Linked DNA regions of Callithrix jacchus. Each later gene encodes a partner of the first gene's protein in a complex. Links are inferred from orthologs where the notes say so. Each region holds a gene or a part of one and is shown in the gene's direction. Other genes may lie near its edges.

The links.
Region 2: ARID1A (region 1) and SMARCD3 share a complex: the UniProt entries of both Homo sapiens proteins name them as parts of the neuron-specific chromatin remodeling complex. The link is inferred for Callithrix jacchus from reciprocal best matches to the Homo sapiens genes ARID1A and SMARCD3.
Region 3: ARID1A (region 1) and SMARCC2 share a complex: the UniProt entries of both Homo sapiens proteins name them as parts of the neuron-specific chromatin remodeling complex. The link is inferred for Callithrix jacchus from reciprocal best matches to the Homo sapiens genes ARID1A and SMARCC2.
Region 4: ARID1A (region 1) and ACTL6B share a complex: the UniProt entries of both Homo sapiens proteins name them as parts of the neuron-specific chromatin remodeling complex. The link is inferred for Callithrix jacchus from reciprocal best matches to the Homo sapiens genes ARID1A and ACTL6B.
Region 5: ARID1A (region 1) and PHF10 share a complex: the UniProt entries of both Homo sapiens proteins name them as parts of the neural progenitors-specific chromatin remodeling complex. The link is inferred for Callithrix jacchus from reciprocal best matches to the Homo sapiens genes ARID1A and PHF10.

Annotation. Positions count from the first base shown.
Region 1 is NC_133508.1:63,425,957-63,429,467, forward strand, and holds part of ARID1A (AT-rich interactive domain-containing protein 1A), read left to right. Parts: intron 1-442; coding exon 443-650; intron 651-1,783; coding exon 1,784-1,916; intron 1,917-2,097; coding exon 2,098-2,273; intron 2,274-2,637; coding exon 2,638-2,788; intron 2,789-2,869; coding exon 2,870-3,004; intron 3,005-3,088; coding exon 3,089-3,185; intron 3,186-3,511. UniProt on the Homo sapiens protein: Involved in transcriptional activation and repression of select genes by chromatin remodeling (alteration of DNA-nucleosome topology).
Region 2 is NC_133512.1:96,971,940-96,975,450, forward strand, and holds the end of SMARCD3 (SWI/SNF-related matrix-associated actin-dependent regulator of chromatin subfamily D member 3), read left to right. Parts: coding exon 1-3; intron 4-256; coding exon 257-352; intron 353-510; coding exon 511-612; intron 613-820; coding exon 821-982; intron 983-1,925; coding exon 1,926-2,023; intron 2,024-2,201; coding exon 2,202-2,337; intron 2,338-2,708; coding exon 2,709-2,831; intron 2,832-2,952; coding exon 2,953-3,054; intron 3,055-3,292; coding exon 3,293-3,346; 3' UTR 3,347-3,476; downstream 3,477-3,511. UniProt on the Homo sapiens protein: Involved in transcriptional activation and repression of select genes by chromatin remodeling (alteration of DNA-nucleosome topology).
Region 3 is NC_133510.1:63,474,090-63,478,164, forward strand, and holds the start of SMARCC2 (SWI/SNF complex subunit SMARCC2), read left to right. Parts: upstream 1-1,265; 5' UTR 1,266-1,290; coding exon 1,291-1,401; intron 1,402-3,448; coding exon 3,449-3,568; intron 3,569-4,075. UniProt on the Homo sapiens protein: Involved in transcriptional activation and repression of select genes by chromatin remodeling (alteration of DNA-nucleosome topology).
Region 4 is NC_133503.1:13,071,630-13,075,889, forward strand, and holds the start of ACTL6B (actin-like protein 6B), read left to right. Parts: upstream 1-1,452; 5' UTR 1,453-1,534; coding exon 1,535-1,559; intron 1,560-2,009; coding exon 2,010-2,086; intron 2,087-2,302; coding exon 2,303-2,468; intron 2,469-2,767; coding exon 2,768-2,868; intron 2,869-4,260. UniProt on the Homo sapiens protein: Involved in transcriptional activation and repression of select genes by chromatin remodeling (alteration of DNA-nucleosome topology).
Region 5 is NC_133505.1:176,378,841-176,382,969, reverse strand, and holds the start of PHF10 (PHD finger protein 10), read left to right. Parts: upstream 1-1,319; 5' UTR 1,320-1,603; coding exon 1,604-1,882; intron 1,883-2,361; exon of another isoform or gene 2,362-2,928; intron 2,929-4,129. UniProt on the Homo sapiens protein: Involved in transcription activity regulation by chromatin remodeling. Belongs to the neural progenitors-specific chromatin remodeling complex (npBAF complex) and is required for the proliferation of neural progenitors.

The DNA of each region.
Region 1 (3,511 bases):
CAGCCTGGCCAACATGGTGAAATGCTGTCTCTACTAAAAATACAAAAATTAGCCAGGTGTGGTGGTGCACTCCTGTAATCCCAGCTACTTGGGAGGCTGAGGTAAGAGTATCGCTTGAGCCCGGGAGGCAGAAATTGCAGCAAGTTAAGCTCGTGCCACTGCATTCCAGCCTAGGCGACAGAGCGAGATTTATTTTTTCTGTCTCAGAAAAAGTAGGGTTTAAATAGGCAGATGATTTGTACACCATTTTTCGGCAGTATACTAAAAAACTGGATTTAACACTTGTTGTGAACTATCCACCAAGCAAGATTAACTTTTGTAATTACCTAAGAACTGTGATTCTACAAAAATGAATTACCTTGCAGCCTGATAGGGCTTGTGGCTTATGGACAGGAAAACCAGGCAGGAGATATACCCCGACTCTTGTGGTTTGGTTATACAGGTCAACAAGAACAAAAAATGGCGGGAACTTGCAACAAACCTCAATGTGGGCACATCAAGCAGTGCTGCCAGCTCCTTGAAAAAGCAGTATATCCAGTGTCTCTATGCCTTTGAGTGCAAGATTGAACGGGGAGAAGATCCTCCCCCAGACATCTTTGCAGCTGCCGATTCCAAGAAGTCCCAGCCCAAGATCCAGCCTCCCTCTCCTGGTAAGGATGGGGTCAGCAGCCCCACTAAGGCTGAGAGGGCCTACTGCACCTGCCTCCAGCAGGATATGCCAAGGATCTGTGCTCTTGCCCTACCACAGGTCTTAACAGGTTGGCTGAATAGAGAGTGGGCAGTGGAAACTTCCCTGGGAGGTACTCTTCAGCAGCCCTTAAATTTTAATTTTTGTTGTGCACCTGGCAACTTGCCAAATGTTTGTAAACTGGTGAATGGGAGGGGCACAAGAAGAGTGGGGAAACTGACAAATGGCAGCAAAGCAGGGCCATCTGGAAGCTTTGGCCCATTGATGTCAGCACCTTAGAATGCAGCTCACACTAGAGCCCTGAATTCCCCAGGGAGCTGAGATAGTAATGAATGAGGAGGGAGTGGGGAAGGGATATGAATGGAACTCTCTGATGGGAGTGCCTCTGCCTACCCTCCATTCTGAGAGGAGGCTGAGACCTAGGGCGAGCCTGGGGAGGAAAGAAGGCCAGGGTGCCTGGAAGGTGGGTGTAAACACATGTGCCCTGGTGTTGACCTCTGAGGGTGTAATGAGTGCCTGAGATGACTCATCAGCTGGGGAGGCCTCAGCAGTGGGATATCTACTGCTGGGAATGGTAACTATTGGAAACATTAAATTACTAGTAGTTTTGTGCTTATCAGCTTAGAAGAACATTTGAACTTGAGGGATGACACTATGCTGGATGCTTTAGAACAGGAGCTCTCCTAGGCTCCTAAAATGCATCCCAGATTTGGATTCCACCCTACCCAGGATTTGGGAGGTTCTGACTGGAGCTCCTGCACCAGCATTACAGGATTTAATAGGTTAGACAAGGTCCTTGGAGAAGTGAAGAGAAATAGCCAGGGAAGCTGGCAGTGACTCAAGGAATCACCAGCATAGTGATGTCATGGCCGCATCACTTCTCTTCTCTACATGTAAAACAAAAAGAGCTACAAAACCCTCAAATTTCCTTCTTTATGACCTGGATATTGCAGATCTTCTGATAAGAATGGTGATCACGCTTGAAAGGCCTTAGGAAGAACTTTCTCAAAGAGATTCTGGGTCATTCATGTGTTTTTGTGAGAGTTAAACACTTCCATACCAAGCAAACTGCTCAACTTGCTTCTCTGTCCACAGCGGGATCAGGATCTATGCAGGGGCCCCAGACTCCTCAGTCAACCAGCAGTTCCATGGCAGAAGGAGGAGACTTAAAGCCACCAACTCCAGCATCCACACCACACAGTCAGATCCCTCCCTTGCCAGGCATGAGGTAAGGCCAAGAGCAGAGGTGGATGGTTGAGGGGATGGTTGGAGATAAGTGCATGGGAACTCCTTTGCAGCCCAAGGGTGGTCCCTGCCTCTGCCTTCTCAGCCAGTGACTCCTGCGTGTCCTGTGTTATATTGGAGGAATTGGTCTATCTGGGGTTTAATTGATTTTCCTCACTCTGGAGCAGGAGCAATTCGGTTGGGATCCAGGATGCCTTTAATGATGGAAGTGACTCCACATTCCAGAAGCGGAATTCCATGACTCCAAACCCTGGGTATCAGCCCAGTATGAATACCTCTGACATGATGGGGCGCATGTCCTATGAGCCAAATAAGGATCCTTATGGCAGCATGAGGAAAGGTGACTGATCTGATTGCTATTGAACTTGTACTCTTAAAGACAGGGCCAGTGAAATGGGGGAAAATCTTGAGTGATTCAGGGTTCTTGTGGAGCCAATCTCTGAGATAATGCATTTCCTGTCCTAACTACCCCTCTTCATCCCTACCTCCTTTGTCTCTTCCCTGGCCTCACCTTGACATCCCTTAACAAGTACATGCTTTTTGCTGGTTGGGGCATCTTTAGAACTCTGTTTTGAACTTGTCTGGAAAACAGTGAGATCAAACCTGAACTCTGAAAAGGGCCTGGGTCTTTGGAGCAGGCAAAGTGTAGATTACTAGGCTTGCCAACTTGCCAGTTTGTTCACTGCCTGCCTTTATACACTCAGCTCCAGGGAGTGATCCCTTCATGTCCTCAGGGCAGGGCCCCAACGGCGGGATGGGTGACCCCTACAGCCGTGCTGCCGGCCCTGGTCTTGGAAATGTGGCAATGGGACCACGACAGCACTATCCCTATGGAGGTCCTTATGACAGAGTGAGGTAAGCATGGCACCAGCTCCTATCCATCCCCCAGCACCCAGAGCTATAGTGGGCTCAATCCACCTCTCCAATTTTCTTTAGGACGGAGCCTGGAATAGGGCCTGAGGGAAACATGGGCACTGGGGCCCCACAACCGAATCTCATGCCTTCTAACCCAGACTCGGGGATGTATTCTCCTAGCCGCTACCCCCCACAGCAGCAGCAGCAGCAGCAACGGTGAGTAAAGCCTGCTCCCAGTGCTGCTGTGACTCAGACTTTGCCACTGCCCACCCTGATCATGTGTTTCTTTGCCTCCTGTAGACATGATTCCTATGGCAATCAGTTTTCCACCCAAGGCACCCCTTCTGGCAGCCCCTTCCCCAGCCAACAGACCACAATGTATCCACAGCAGCAGCAGGTGAGGAGGGTAGCTGGGAATGGACTAGCATGTAGATTCCCTTTGAAAGATAGTTACTAATGTGTTAAAGTCTAAGAAGCTCACTTTAAGTATTTTGGCATTCTTCTCTCACCTGACTGGCCATTTGGGCCCAAAGAGCCAAGTCCTCGATCTCTTCTGTTTGGAGCTGGAAAGGGCTAGAAATAGATCTTATTTTGATTTTTAGGTTTTATATATTTTTCTACTTAGAGCAAGGGAGGGGAAGAAAGAGTGGTGGTTGCTTTTGGAAACAACTTAAAAAGACAGTTTGTTAAGGTGATTCCTTTGTTTCCTTGGAGTCTGTGTCC
Region 2 (3,511 bases), on another chromosome or scaffold:
GATGTACGTCCCGGCGCAGGTCTCTCCAGGTGTCCTAGGGTGGGCCTGGGCTGCACTGAGAACAGAACTAGGTGTCTGCACTAAGGGCTAGAGAGTCAGGCCGGTCCAGGGCAGGGCAGGGCAGGGCAGGGCAGGCCTAGAAACATTCGGGTGCAGAGGATTTCATCTAAGCCCGCTGCCCTGTTTGCTGCCAACTTGGCCTTCTTCTGCCCCCAGTCCCTTTTCTGCACCCACGGTCCCTGTTTCTCTCCCACAGCCCAGCAAACAGAAGCGGAAGTTCTCTTCTTTCTTCAAGAGTTTGGTCATTGAGCTGGACAAAGATCTTTATGGCCCTGATAACCACCTCGTTGAGGTGAGACCAAGATCCCCTCTGCCCTTGAACTGCCACCCTCCCACAGGCCAGAATCCCTGAAGAACCAGCCCAGATTTGGATCACGGACCACCCTAGAGTCCTGGGCCCCACCGCTCCAGATGGGCCTTTGGGTGACCCAGCTCTTCTCTCCTGGACAGTGGCATCGGACACCCACAACCCAGGAGACGGACGGCTTCCAGGTGAAACGGCCTGGGGACCTGAGTGTGCGCTGCACGCTGCTCCTCATGCTGGACTACCAGGTCTGCATCTGCCATGCTGCCCCGCACATGTCACATGAGGCCCTTAGGGCAGGCCTAGGTCCCAACATGGTCCATCTTGAGAGACCTCCTTCCCCTCCCAACCCTGTCTTTCCCTCAGTCAACGCATCCCCCTAGTCCTGAATGGCCTGGCCCTGGGCTCCTTCCATTCTCTCCCTTTGATCTAACTTTCACAGTCCCCTTTTCCCAGCCTCCCCAGTTCAAACTGGATCCCCGTCTAGCACGGCTGCTGGGGTTGCACACACAGAGCCGCTCAGCCATCGTCCAGGCCCTGTGGCAGTATGTGAAGACCAACAGGCTGCAGGACTCCCATGACAAGGAATACATCAATGGGGACAAGTATTTCCAGCAGGTAACCTCCCTCCTGAACCCAGGGGCCTGGGGATCAGGCAGAGTTCTCCAGCAGGGGAAGTACCTCTACCAAGGTAACTACCACCCTCCCTTCTAGTTTCCTGAGTAGCAGAAGCAGTACAGAGTTATGGTCTTGGAGCCAAGAGACCGACCAGGATTCTAGTTCAGGTCCTACTGTGGATTAGCTCTGTGCTGCAGCCAATCCATTTTAGCCCCCGCCCCCGCCCCCCCAAGTTAGGAAGACCTGGAACCCTACAAAGCCAACTGCTTTCTGGAATGTAATATTCTTGGCACCTGGAGTTTGGATTCCCAGGTTCTAGTCCTGAGTCTGGACTCTGGGTAAGTGACTTGTTTCCTTATCTTTGAAGTGGAGTGATAATACCTGCCCCGTCTACTCTCCTGGGCAGTTAGGGAAGATCAAATTGCTGCAAAAGGGACTTAGCGAAATTCCACCAAAAGAGAGTATTCTTATTAATGCATTTTAAAATAAATACGGCAGATAAACCTGAGGAGTAAAAATAGCAGCTGATATTTATTGGGCACTTACCATGTGCCAGGCATTGTTCCAAGCACTTTATGTGCATTAGCACCGACTTCTCACGACAGCCCTGAGATAGATATTATTTTCACCCCCACTCTAGAGATGAAGACAGAGGCCTGAGGTGTCAGCTTGCTCATGGCTGCATAGTGATGGGAGAGGCAGGACCGATACATAGACTGGCCCAGGGCCTGCACTCTCAACCTGCCCCACACTGACCCACCCCAGGCCCTGTCAGCCGTGCTGGTGGCTCCACCACCAGACCAGCCCACCCCAATCCCATCCCCCTGTGCACTGAGGAATCAGACTCACTCTCAGCTTCTTGAGGCCTTTCTACAACCAAAGGATCTACAACTTCGTGATGATCTCTTCCAAGAGTGATCTCTCCCTGCAACTGTCTTGCTAGATTTTTGATTGTCCCCGGCTGAAGTTTTCTGAGATTCCCCAGCGCCTCACAGCCCTGCTACTGCCCCCTGACCCAATTGTCATCAACCATGTCATCAGGTGAGGTGGCCCCAGCTTGCTTCTCAGACCAGGGAATGATCTCATTCCTGCCTTCCCTGCCCCTCCCTCTCCTCCCACTCCCGTATTTTCTCCCTCCCTGTTGGAGCTGCCCCCACCCCGGGGCCCTAGGGCCTCTATAGGGGCATCATGAACACTGAGGGCTGCACTTCCCTGGCAGTGTGGACCCTTCAGACCAGAAGAAGACGGCATGCTATGACATTGATGTGGAGGTGGAGGAGCCATTAAAGGGGCAGATGAGCAGCTTCCTCCTGTCCACAGCCAACCAGCAGGAGATCAGTGCTCTGGACAGTAAGGTGGGGCCCAAGCCCAGAGCTGGAATGGGACATTAACCCAGAGATGATAAAGCAGACTTTTCTGAGACCAGGGTGTGGTTGCAGATGAGCAGTCTGGGTTAAATAAAAAAAAGGAAAAGAAAAAGAAGCGACCAGAGTGTGGGCCAGTGGGGTACACATGGCCCTTCCATGCTACTTGGAGTTGAACCTTATTCCAAATTTAGTTCTGCCCATCCCCTCCTCCCCTGGGACTTCAGAGGAATCAGGGGCTCTGAGGTGTTGTCTTTCACCAAAGAAAACCCCTCTCCCTCCCCTTCCCACCCACCTCCTTTTCCCCTCCCTCTCCCACATCACCACAGCCAGGTGGAAAGCATCTATCTTTCTACCTGCAGATCCATGAGACGATTGAGTCCATAAATCAGCTCAAGATCCAGAGGGACTTCATGCTAAGCTTCTCCAGAGACCCCAAAGGCTATGTCCAAGATCTGCTCCGCTCCCAGAGCCGGGACCTCAAGGTGAGAGGGAGACTCAGGGAGTACTGGAGTAGAAGACAAGCACATCAGGAGAGACAGTAAATGTACTCCAGGGCAGGTGAGGGGATCTGGAGCTCAGGGCTGACCCCATGCCCCCTCCCAGGTGATGACAGATGTAGCTGGCAACCCTGAAGAGGAGCGCCGGGCTGAGTTCTACCACCAGCCCTGGTCCCAGGAGGCCGTCAGTCGCTACTTCTACTGCAAGGTATGGAGGGTCCCTTGCCCTGAGGCTTCCCCCTCCTCAACTCCAAGAGAAACCTCCCTGTTCAGCTTGTGGGCAGCCCTCTTAGCTCCCCACAGTAAAGCTTCACCACAATGCCTGACCATGCAGCAGACCCCTGCTCCCAGATGCTCTTCCAGGGTGGGCAGTGTCAGGTGGTGGGGTGGTCCTGATCACTCACCAGGAACACTGACACCTGCTCCTGCTCTCACTTCCTCTAAAGATCCAGCAGCGCAGGCAGGAGCTGGAGCAGTCGCTGGTTGTGCGCAACACCTAGGAGCCCGGGAACAAGCAGCACGAAGGACCTTCTGGCCGCACTCAGAGCTCCAGCGCTCCACCCCAGGCTCTGGCATCACTCCTCTGCCGCTTTGGGGTGCGGGGCTGGATTAAAAGTTATTCATCTGACAGCAGCCATGTGGTCATTGGAAACTGGGGAGGCAAG
Region 3 (4,075 bases), on another chromosome or scaffold:
AGGAAGGGGGTTAAAAAAGTCGCCATCAGGCCGGGCGCGGTGGCTCGCACCTGTAATCACAGCACTTTGGGAGGCTGAGACGGGCGGATCACCTAAGGTCAGTTCAAAAACAGCCTAGCCAAATGGTGAGACCCCGTCTCTAGTAAAAATACAAAAATTAGCCAGGTTTGGTGGCACATTCCTGTGGTCCCAGCTATTCGGGAGGCTGAGGCAGGAGAATTGCTTGAACCCGGGAGGCAGAGGTTGCAGTGAGCTGAGATCACGCCACTGCACTCCAGCCTGGGCAACAGAGCAAGACTCCGTCTTAATTAAAAAAAAAAAAAAAAAAAAGGCCATCGTCACGAACAGGATTCGAACCTGTGCGGGGAAACCCCATTGGATTTCGAGTCCAACGCCTTAACCACTCGGCCACCGTGACTTCCAAAACCGCGCTTTATCGCGCGCTTACAGAAGGGGTCCGCACTGCAACCGGGAAAGGCATACAAGAACTGAAAGCGGGGGCCCGGCCGCGAAACACACACCATAGAACTCCCCACCCCTAGCTCCTTACCTCCTATCTATGCCACTCAAAGAAAAAGAGTCGGATGAACCGGGTGGCCCAGGGAGGGAGGGCCTCCTGCCTAGCGAAGAGCGAGGTCTCAAGGAGCTCACAGCTACTTAGGAGGCGATGGCGAGGCCTGCGGAGGAAGCAGCCGAGGGAAGGGACTGGGGCCCCAGCGTGGCGGCTAGGGAATTTTTGGGTTAACAAGTGAGGGGGGTGCTGGGTGGGACCAGGCGCGAGAGGTGAGGGAGACTCAGAAGAGTTTAAATAGGCAGCTCCTGGGAATGGATGGAAGGAAGGAACTTCTTGGGGAAAGGGGTTTGGGTTTTGGAGGACTAGGGGCTCCGCGGGGTTAGGAATGCGCAAGGTGAGAGCCACTCTGGGGACCGGCGGCCGCCCGGGGTGGGATGGCGAGGTGATACTGCCGAGCTGAAGCAAAAAGAGGAAAAGGGCTTCGCGTCTGCTAAGAGCTATCTCTGGAGAATGGCGCCCCCTCCAGGAAGCGTCCTCCTCCCCGGAGGCTCCCGCCGCCGCTGCCGGGGAGGCCGCCAGGGTCGTCCCGCACCAGGAACTCCGCCGCCGCGCCCGGCCTGCCGGCAGGGGGCGCAGCGCGGACCGGGGCCGGCCCAGGCGGCGGGAGGCGGCGGCCGCGGCGGCGGGAGGCGGCGGGAGGCGGGCGGAGGAGGAGGCAGAGGAGGCGGGAGCTGAGCTGAGTGGGGCGGGCGGCGGCGGGGCCCGAGCCCGAGAAGATGGCGGTGCGGAAGAAGGACGGCGGCCCCAACGTGAAGTATTATGAGGCCGCGGACACCGTGACCCAGTTCGACAACGTGCGGCTGTGGCTCGGCAAGAACTATAAGAAGGTACGCGGGCCGGGCCGGGCCGCTTGGCGACCGGGGGCGGGACAAAGGGACAGCGGCCCTGCAGCCCCAGGATCCTGCCCACCCTCCAGCCGCCCCGGCCCCTCCCCCGCGGCCTCGGGAGCAGCCCCCCGCGCGCCCTCCCGCGCGCCCGCGCCCCTCCCCCAGCCTCCCTCTCCCCGCACCCCCAGCCTCCGAGCCCAGCCCCCGCCCTCACTGCTGCGCCCTCTGCCCCTTGTTTTTCTCCACTGCCCGGCGGGCCCCGATGCCATTAGCCCACCTTCCCCCTCAGCCATCGCCCTCCTGGCTTTTCTGGGAGAGGCGGCCGGCCGGGAGTGGACCGGGTGCCCAGTGAGCTCCCCCGCAAACCCGAGCATGCCCGCCAGAGCTCCCCACGGAGCCAGGTACCAGCGGGGCTGAGGCCTCCCCAGTGCTTTGTATATGTTCAGAGAGAGAGAGGATGGAAAGCAGGAGGGTAAACAGTCACACAGCAAGCCGCTGGCTGCTCATCAGCCTGAAAAAGGTCCCCACCCTGGGATCACCTGTCTCCGCCGCTCATCCCCCACCTTCATCTAAGGGGAAACAGAATCTCTCAGGGAGCCGGGGTATAGGAGTTCCTGGGTAGCGGCCCCTTCTGAAACCTTTCCTCGATTTTACAATGAAGTCACCCTGCAACCTAGCTTTGCAATACCCTGGGTTTGGGGTCCAGAGGTTAGGGTGAGCTTTCTGTCTCTAGCTCCTCACCCCCTAACCCCAGAACTGGAGATCATAAGGTAGTGAACAAAGGGTTCAGGAATCCTTACCTGTCTTTTCTACTAAACCTCTTCCTGGTGTCGTCTTTGTCTCTAGGCCTGGTTTTCTCTGGAAATGGTCTGCCTCTCTTCTTTCTCACTACTCCCAGAGAGGGGTTCTCTTTGTGGCTTTCTTTCAGCTCCCTGGTTCTTCCTGCCGGCTTTGCAACTAGTCAGAAGTGTGCTTAGTGGCTTAGGAGAACTTCCTGCTGATCCTGGTTATGAGACTAGTCCTGCCCTTGGGGTCTCTCTGGGTGTCAGAATCCTGACAAATAGCTGCTGTTTCTATGGCTGGTCTCTGCCCCTTTGTGAGGCTCTTGTTCCCAGGCCTTTTGACCTTTTGCAGGGAGATTAGGCTAGGGGCTTAGCCTGTAGCCTTGGGGTGATTGACAACTGTGACCTGGTTCAGCTTCCATGCTCTTAGCTCTTTGTCATTTACCTTTCCCTTCACAGATATCTTTTCACCTCTCACTGAGAGGTGCTGTCTTCTTTGTGATGAGGGTGGAGAAAACAGGTCAAAAGGTAAAAAGAAAGTCTCCTGGCTCAGGTTCAAATTAGAATGGAAGGCTAGGATGCTGCTAGGTAGCATAATGTGGAAACAGTGAAGCAGGACCAGGGTTACTTGTCTCAGATACAGTTTCCTCCGACAGGGTAGATGTCTTGCTCTTCTCCATCAGGCTAAGTAGCCCATGGCCCTTCCTGTCTAAGAGGGCATATGAAGACGTTTATACCCATTCTTCAGAAGCAAAATGCACAAGCTCACTCTCTCAGTCAGCTTGCCCTCCTTGACTTCCTTGACCTTTTCTTGTTAGGCTACATTATAGGGGGAATCATGGCTTTACACAGAGTTCCCCTAAGAAATACACTTTTGTCTCTCGTAGAGCCCCAGAGGTATTGCTTCCATGACCTCATCTCTGTAAACCTCCAGAATTTTACAGCCCTCAGTGCTGTGGGCTGAAGATGAGGTGCCAAAGTACTAGGGTCCTGCAGCTCCAATTTCAGAGTGTAGCTGAGGATGAGTAGTAAGCTTCCCTCTTCCCCCACACTGGCAACCTGGGCTGCTGGCAGCAGTGTTTCAGCTTCCTGGTTGGGGTGTCCAGGGTCTCCCTTCTGCCATTTTCTTTATAGAGACTAAATGGAGTAAAAGACACTATTTTCTCTGCTCCAAATGCTTCCAGAGTGCCTGGGGGAGAAATATGGGAGATAGTGGACAATTCATCTGGGGTCTATTTTTCTTTTCTTTCCCTCTTTATCCCTAGTATATACAAGCTGAACCACCCACCAACAAGTCCCTGTCTAGCCTTGTTGTACAGTTGCTACAATTTCAGGAAGAAGTTTTTGGCAAACATGTCAGCAATGCACCGCTCACTAAACTGCCGGTGAGTGCTGAAGTTGGGGGGAGGGTGGGGGGGGGCTGGTGGTGAATCCTTCAAACTGGAGAGTTGTATTTTTTAAAATATTTGTGAATTTTGTAATTTTTGAAATTTGGATTATTTTCTACCATTCCTATCCCTGGTCAGGGCATTATTGGCTTGGCCTAGTCCCCAATTTACCATTCCTTTTGTCTTAGTAATACTTTGTGCAGAGTGCCTGAGATTAGTCCCCGAGTCTCTCATGGTATGGTGAAAGGGGGTCTTGAGATTTGGATTTGCGCGGGCTTGTGTTTACATCCTGGCTTTGCCACTTCATGGCTCTGTGACCTTGGGCAACATTCATCAGTCTTGGTTCCTTCATCTCTAGATGGGATTAGTAAATCTACCTTGTAGGGTTTCTATAGTGGTAGCTGAGGTAATTCAGTAAAGTGTTAGCATATATTGGTTTCTTTCACTCCCCTCTTCCAGGCCACATGATGCAATGGCACAGGGGTTAAAGAATTTCAGCTTTGG
Region 4 (4,260 bases), on another chromosome or scaffold:
CACTTCCTGTGCCATCTCTGGTCTCAAAGCTCCCTCACCCCCAAACAAGTAGATGGGCACATGCTCAACACACACAAGCATTCAGATGTGCATATGTACACACATGCACACACACGCCAACACATACAGACACACACACCCTCACAGAAGGTGTGTGTGTCAGCTACCCCAAGGTGTCAGAGCTGCTTCTTCGTCTTTGCTACCAAAACTGTGGTGCCAGGAGCCCAGAAGAACCTGGGGTCCAAGCAGTAGAAAATCTTTTGCTAGTCTGGCACTGTGGCTGACACCTGTAATCGCAATGACTCAGGAAGCCAAGGCGAGAGGCTCACTTGAGGCCAGGAGTTCGAGACCAAATTGGACAACATAGTGAGGGTCCGTGTCTTAAAAAAAAAAAAAAAAAAAGGCTGGGCACGGTGGCTCACTCCTGTAATCCCAGCACTTTGGGAGGCCAAGGTCGGCGAATCACGAGGTCAGGAGATCAAGACCATCCTGGCTAACACGGTGAAACCCCGTGTCTACTAAAAATACAAAAAATTAGCACGCGCCTGTAGTCCCAGCTACTTAGGAGGCCGAGACAGGAGAATCACGTGAACACCCAGGAGGCAGAGGTTGCAGTGAGCTGAGATCGCGCCACTGCACTCCAGCCTGGGCGACACAGCAGGAGTCCGTGTCAAAAAAAAAAAGGAAAAAACAGGGAGAGATGGAGACACACTCCTTCTGGTCTCTCTCTCAATCTTCCCTTCCCTCCCTCTCTCAGTGATTCCATTTAGGCCCGGGATTGGCAAAACCGGGCTCACAGCAGCCTGAAGATAGATGACCCTTCTGGGTACTGGAGTTCTCTCCGCAACCCTGCTTTAAAAGGTAAGGGAATAGAGAAGGGACGAGATGGCTCATGCCTATAATTCCAGCACTTTGAGAGGCTGAGGTAGGAGGATTGCTTGAGGCCAGGAGTTAGAGATCAACCTGGGCAACACAGCAAGACCCCATCTCTACAATATATATATATATATATATATATTTTTTTTTTTTTTTTAATTAGCCAGGTGTGCTGGCACCTGCCTGTAATCCCAGCTACTTGGGAGGCTGAAGAAGATCGTTTGAGCTCAGGAGTACGAGACCAGCCTGGGCGAAATAACAAGACCCCATCTCTACCAAAAGAATTAAAATAATAAAACTAAAAAGCAAGGGGGTAAGGACCTCATCAGTCGTCCTACAGAGTCTTGGTCTCCTCCTCTTTCCTGCTCTCTCCTCTCTGCCACGCGTTCCTTAGGAACGGTTAAGTCCCTGCTGGGAGCCCCCTGCCCCATCTCCTCCCGGCCGCCTAACCGGGGACGTCTTTCCCTTTAAAGCAGCGGCCCCCGTCCGGGTCATTGTCTCGCCTGGCAGCCAATCGGCGGCGCCGTTGGGGGCGGGGGATCCGGCTTCCCGATTGGCCGCCTCGCGCCCCGCCCCGCCCGGGATCCCGGGAGCTGTCCGGCCGCCTCGGTGCTGATCCCGCCGCCGCCCACGGGCCGCGAGCCGCGCAGAGGGCACTATGAGCGGCGGCGTCTACGGCGGAGGTGAGCGAGCCTTGGGCCCCGGGCTCCCGCAGCCTTGCGTTCCGAACCCGCGTCATCGATCCGAGCTCTGGGCACCCCGGGGCCTGTCACCTCCGTGCACGAATGGGTCCGGTCCCAGGCTTGGGTCTCCCGCCACTCCTACGCTCGGTCCTCCCTGCACGCCTCGCGCGCACCGGGCCCAACCTCTCTACCTTGCAACCCACCTCCAACTGGTCCCCGGCCCCTTCCTTTCCCGTCTGGAGGGCGACCTGAGCAAGTCCACTGGGCAAGCAGGGACCTGGCGGTGTGATGCCCCTGCCCCCAGTCCCAGGACCTCGGACTCCAGTCCCACCTGCCCCAGACTGGTGATGAAAGTAGTGAGACTGTGGCTCTGCCCTGACTTCCTCTCGGAGCTACCTAGCGGGAGAGAGTTCGGGGGAAGTCCCCTTACAGGCCTGTTTCCCCGCACAGATGAGGTGGGGGCGCTGGTCTTTGACATTGGCTCCTTCTCAGTCCGAGCTGGGTACGCTGGGGAGGACTGCCCCAAGGTGAGCCTTTCAGTCTCCTCCCCAAATTCTAGGGGCTCTGAACCCTTCTTCGGGCTTTCCAGTGACCCAGGGCTCTCCCAGATCGCCCAGAAGCTCTGCTGAGCGGGAATGCGGGAATAAACCCAGGGGCGGGCTGAGGACCCCGCTGTGGGGCTGGACAGGGGCAAGAAGGTGACCCCTCTCCCTGCCGATCCTCCCCCAACCCTTCCCCACCAGGCTGACTTCCCCACCACGGTGGGGCTGCTGGCCGCGGAGGAGGGGGGCGGGCTGGAGCTGGAGGGGGACAAAGAGAAGAAAGGGAAGATCTTTCACATCGACACCAATGCCCTGCACGTGCCTCGGGATGGAGCAGAGGTCATGTCGCCCCTGAAGAATGGCATGAGTAAGGGGCCCTCACCCATCACCTCCTGACACAGACAGGGAGCTCACTCTCCATGATCTGGGACATAGCAGCCCCAACTCCCCAAGGATTCTTCCTTGCAGTCCCAGGGTTCTTCTCACTGCCTCCCTGAGCTGCCTGGTTCCCATCCCAGGGGCCCATCAGGTTTCTGGGAAGGAGGGTGTTCCCCTGGAGCTGGACTCACTGACCCTCCTTTGGACTTGGCCTTCCTCCCTCCTTTTCCTCCTGTCCCTGACCCTTGCCTGCCCTCTTGCGTCTCTGTGCTGCTCTTCTGGCCCCAGTTGAGGATTGGGAGTGCTTCCGAGCCATCCTGGATCACACCTACAGCAAACATGTCAAGTCTGAGCCAAACCTGCACCCAGTGCTCATGTCCGAGGCTCCGGTGAGTGCCTACTCCATACCTCCACGTCCGGCCCTGATCTCCACCGAACCTCATTCCCACCATCCACCTCTCCTCTCCCCTCAAGCCACCACTCTCAGCCACTTGACCTCCCTTTTCCATCTTCACCACTTTCTTTCCTTCCTAGCTGTCTCCAGCCCTCCTGCTCTTTTCCTGCTCTATCTTACTCTGCTGCCCTTCTCCGTCTCCAAGTCCTTTTTAAATTTTTAATCTTTTGAGACAGAGTCTCACTCTGTTGCCCAGGCTGGAGTGCAATCACGAGATCTCAGCCTGTGTCTCCTGGGTTCAAGGAATTATCTTGCCTAAACCTGCCAAGTGGCTGGGATTACTGGCACCCGCCACCATGCCTAATTTTTGTATTTTTACAAAAAATTCGCCAGGTGTGATGGCGGGCGCCGGTAGACATTTTTTAAATGTTCTTACCTGCCTCCTTATATTTCCCCCTGTATAAAAGCAACTGTTTTTCTCCCTTTTGAGCTAATTTTTGGAGTATTTTCTTTCATATCTCTAATATCACACTTAAATTGCAGCCTGTGGAGTTTTTTGTTTTAGGTATTATCTATGAATTTTCCACTTTAGAAAATGGTCGCTTAGCTCTCTTTTCCTCCCCAGCCTATACCACACAGATTTCTCATCACCCACCTTTAAGTACAGTGGCTTCTGTTGTTGTGGTTGTTTGGGGTTGTGTTGTTTGTTTTTGAGACAGGCTCTTACTTTGTCACACAGGCTGGAGTGCAGCAGCACGATTCTGCAGCCTTTACCTCCTCAGCTCAAGTGACCCTCTCATTTCAGCCTCCGGAGAAGCTGGAACTACAGACATGAGCCACCACGCCCAGCTGATTTTTACATTTTTTGTAGAGGCAGGGTTTCACCATGTTGTCCAGGCTGGTCTGGAATTTCTGGGTCTTGAATTCAAGCAACCTGCCTGCCTCAGCCTCCCAAATTGCTGAGATTACAGGTGAGATCCACCGCATCCAGACCAGTTGTATTTTAGACTTTAAAAGAAATCAGGGCCAGGCGCGGTGGCTCAAGCCTGTAATCCCAGCACTTCGGGAGGCCGAGGCGGGTGGATCACGAGGTCAAGAGATCAAGACCATCCTGGTTAACATGGTGAAACCCCATCTCTTCTAAAAATACAAAAAAAAAAAATTAGCTGGGCATGGTGGCACATGCCTGTAATCCCAGCTACTCAGGAGGCTGAGGCAGGAGAATTGCCTGAACCCAGGAGGCAGAGGTTGCGGTGAGCCAAGATTGCACCATTGCACTCCAGCCTGGGTAACAAGAGCAAAACTCCATCTCAAAATAAAATAAAATAAAAATAAATAAAAGAAATCAGTATTCAGTATTTAGACTCTTTTTAAATTAGAGATAATT
Region 5 (4,129 bases), on another chromosome or scaffold:
GCCGGTCCAAGATTGGGCAGCAGTAGCTGTGCACATGTCCTTAAAGCACTTTTTGTGTAGTTTTGTGGCCTTTGTGCAAGGTTGTGGTTTTGGCAGTTTTTTGTGTTAATTCTTGATATCAGGCTATTATTAGTGAGAACCTTCCCTTCGTGGCTTTCCTTGACTCCATTTTGTAACAGCTTTCACAATGCAGATAGCCGCAGAGGTTTTTTTTTTTTTTTTTTAAACGCTGAACTCTATCCGGGGAGTCTGAGCGAGGGTCCTGATGAATGAAGACAATTTAGCTGAAAGACGCAGTTGCCTCTTGGCAGATTCGGACAAGGAGTGCAGTGGAGGCTGACGCCTGCACGGGGCAGGACTGAGGAACAGGGCCCGTCTGGCCTCAGCTGCGAGAACGAAGCTGGGTCAGCAGGGCTCGAAGGCCTGGCACCGTCGGTGGGGACCTCTCGGACCGGAGCAAGGAGCCAGGCTGGGCTGGGCGTGGTGACGGTGGTTGTCAATGCGACATCCTAGAAATCATCCCTTTGTCTTCCCGAAGTTCTGTTGCTGGGGCGTAGGCAACAACAATGAATGGAAAGGAAGCGGGATTGTACTTTGAATCTGAGCGCATCCTCCACCTTCCAGAACAAGCATCTGCAGGCGCAGGTGAGGGAGGCCGTGATGGCAGCTGCGGACTGGCCAAGCTCGGCTCCTCACGTGAGGTCCCAGGGGAGCCCAGACGCAGCCGAGATCATACACCGGCTCCGCGTTCTCCCGGGGGTACCTGCCAAGCCGGCCTCAGGCCCCTCCCCGGCTCCCCGCCACCCGCGTCCTCGGCGGAGGCATCAACCACGCGGGAACGCAGGCACGCGGGCCGAATCTCGGCGACTTTTTCCCGCCGTGCCTTCCCCACGCTCCTCGGCGGGCGCCTTCGGCCCCCCGGGGCAACTGCGGATGCCCCGGGAAGCGCGGCCGGGACAGGTGGCTCCGCGGCTGTCTTCCGGCGCGCCAGCGAGAGGGGCGGCCCGAGAACAAAGGCGGGCGAGGGGCGGCGACTGCGAGCGCGCAAAGGCAGAGGCCGGGCAGTCCCCGGGCGGCTTCCGGGGCACGGCGACCCCCGGCAGGGAGGGGGCGGGGCGGGGACCCCCAAGAGGGGCGGGGCGAGGCAAGGCAAGCGCAGCGGGGCGCGGAGAGAGGGAGGGAGAGAGGGTGACGCGCGTAGGGGCCGGGCCGGGCTGGGGGCCGCGGGGAGGGGGCGGCTGCCAGTGCGCCAAGTGGAGACGAGCCGGGCCGGGGCGGGCCGGAGGGCGGGCGGGAGGTGGGGCGCGCCGCGGGCTGGTGGGAGCCGCGGCCGAGTACGACGCCGGGCCGTGGGGAGCCGGGCGGCGGCGGGGCTGAGGCAACTGCGGGTCTGAGGGGAGCAGCGGGGCTGAGGCGGCGGCGGAGGTGAAGGGAGCCGCGGCGGCAGTGAGGCCAGCGGCGGAGCTGTGGGGGGCGGCGGCCGGGCGGGTCGGGCTGACGTGAGGAGCGCCGCCGCCGCCGGGCGTCCTCCATTCCGGCCCACATCCACGCGCCCTCCCAGCCTCCGGCGCCCTCCCGCGCGGGCGGCGCGCTGGCGGCGGCCATGGCGGTGGCGGCGGCGCCGCTGGCGGGCCGCGGGGCGCGCGGCGGCAGGGGCCGGCCCCCGGGCGGGCGGGCGGAGGGGGCGGGGCCGGGGCGGCGGGGGGCCCGCGCGGTGGCGGCGGCAGCGGCGGCGGCGGCCGGGACGAGGCGGAGGCGACGGCGGCGGCGGCGGCGCGGGGCGCTCGGGCTGATGGCGGCGGCGGCGGCCGGGCCCGGGGCGGCACTGTCTCCGCGGCCGTGCGAAAGCGACCCGGCCACTCCCGGAGCGCAGTCCCCGAAGGTGAGGAAGCGGCCTGCGCGACCCGACCCCAACTCTGACCCTCTCCGGGGCCGGGGCTCCGCGGTCTCGGCCCAGTCCCACCGGCGGCCGGCCGGCGTCTCGGGGGCGTGGGCCGCAGGCTGTGCGCTGCCCCTGAGACCCGCGGTGGTCGGCGAGGCGGGGCCCGGAGAGGAGCCCCCGGCCCCAAGCGAGCAACAAGTGCGGGCGGGCGGGCGGGCGGTGCGGCCTCCCTGAAGTTGGCGGCCGGCCGCGTTTGACGAGACTGTCCCCAGACGCCTGTTCCCTGGCCAGCTGCGGGACGGAACGCGCCCGGGGCGGGGAGACGCGGCCTCGCAGGGGCCTGCATTCCGGGCATAGTTTGCCGGAGTGTTTGAAAGCTCACTGCAGAACACGCTGGCGAACGAGGCGGAAAATGCACACGGTGAACTCGGTGCGGGTCAGCGCGTACGCAGGCGTCCGGATGTTTTCAGCGGAAGTCTGCTTCTAAGCTTCGTACTGCTGGGAGGCGACAAGAACTCGGCGATTGTGGCGAGAAGGAGATGACAGTGGCTTGTCACACATCCAAACGTTTCGGTTCTAAGTTAGGCCAGCGGCTAAGGGAGGACAGAAGGTTGGAAGGAGGAGTGATGTTTTAAAAACCGCAACGCTTGAAATCGGCAAGCTGAAAGGAGAAGGCGGTGTAGTGTGCGCGCTGGCGGGGACCCGTCCTGGGGCAGCCTGGCGGGGCTGCGCCTGCCCGGGGCTCCTCCCTCCGCGCACGTCCATCCTGCTGTCAGAGAGACTCCCGCCCATGGAAGTAACTAGAGTAAGGCTGAACGCACGTTCCCGCACTGCCAGCATCGGACGTCTGGCCCGGCACCTGGAGGGCACCGAGGCACTGAGCCAGGGCCCCCTGAGTGCACCTTAGGAAGGATGTGATGCATAGAAACTCATCTAACCTGTGGGTGGAAACCACTTGGAACTCTGGAAGGCACAGCTTTGAGCCTTTGTAAACATGGGCTTCTGTACCGGGATTGCGGTTGCAAATTCTTACCTTATTCCGTCAGGTATTGGGAGCAATATTGCTGTGACTACCTACCTCTAGAAGAAGGCCCGCTGCGCACATGCTCACTTTATATAATAATGCCTTTGCCTAGAATTTATGGTAGCAATTTAAAACACTGTGTATAAAATTGTGCTCTCAGCTTTTTTGAGCACTTCACATTTTTCAGTTTCTTTTTATTTTTGTATATATTTCAGTGTCTCCGTTTTTTAGCTAAAGGGAAATATGCTGATGTTTAAGGATATAAAAATCCTTAAAATTTTCACAAAAAAGATAAAAAATGGAATGCTTAAAATGAGTTATGTTGCAAGTACTGAATATGAAATGTTGCAGTTGTGATACATGCAAATTTTCAGAGTAGATTTAGGCTACGCAGAGGTCTTTCATGAAATGCTTATTTTATAAGGTCTGAAAAAGAATACATATCTTTGGAAAAGAACCAGTAAATTTCTAGGAGCTAGAGACATTTGAGACTTGATTATCATAATCATCATTTTAACTAATATTATGACATAATTATTTGCTAGTTCTTGTTGTAAGTGCTTTTAATATAGTAGCTCATTTAATCATTGAATTAGCTGTGTAATAGGGGCAATATTATAGTCTCAAATTTTCAGATTGGAAAGTACTCACAGAAAGTAACCCCAGCTAGTGAGTGCATTGAGGATCCAGGCTGTCCAGGTTTGGCATGCCTTGGCACTATGCCATATTGCCACTTTATATTCTTTTGCAGGGTTGCTTTCATTTTAATATGCAGCAAGAGGACCCTGGTATTTAGTAAAATTGGATTCGAGTTAAAAGCAATATTACATTTTTACAAAGTATCCTTTTTAGACCTTAAGCCTTGGCTAATATGTAAATACATCAATTTCCTAACGTCTGATACTTTTACTGAGTGAGATGGTTGAATTTATAACCTTGATATTCTTGCCACATAATGGATTGCAGTTAAAATCTATAAGCTTCTTAAAAAAAAAAAATCCCCTCCCTCTCTCAACCCTCTTCTTGGTTTGTGTGTTGCTGTATTATAGATTGATGGCCCTTATTAGGGTATATTTTTGCTAAATTATAGCAATGTAAGAAGAAAAGTGAATAGTTAGAATTGATAATCTGTTTTCAGTCTTGTATGTCCTCTTTTCACAGGGGCATAAATGCCTAAAGTAGTCAAAATTGTCCTATAAACTGGCGCCTAGTTGAATTGAGAG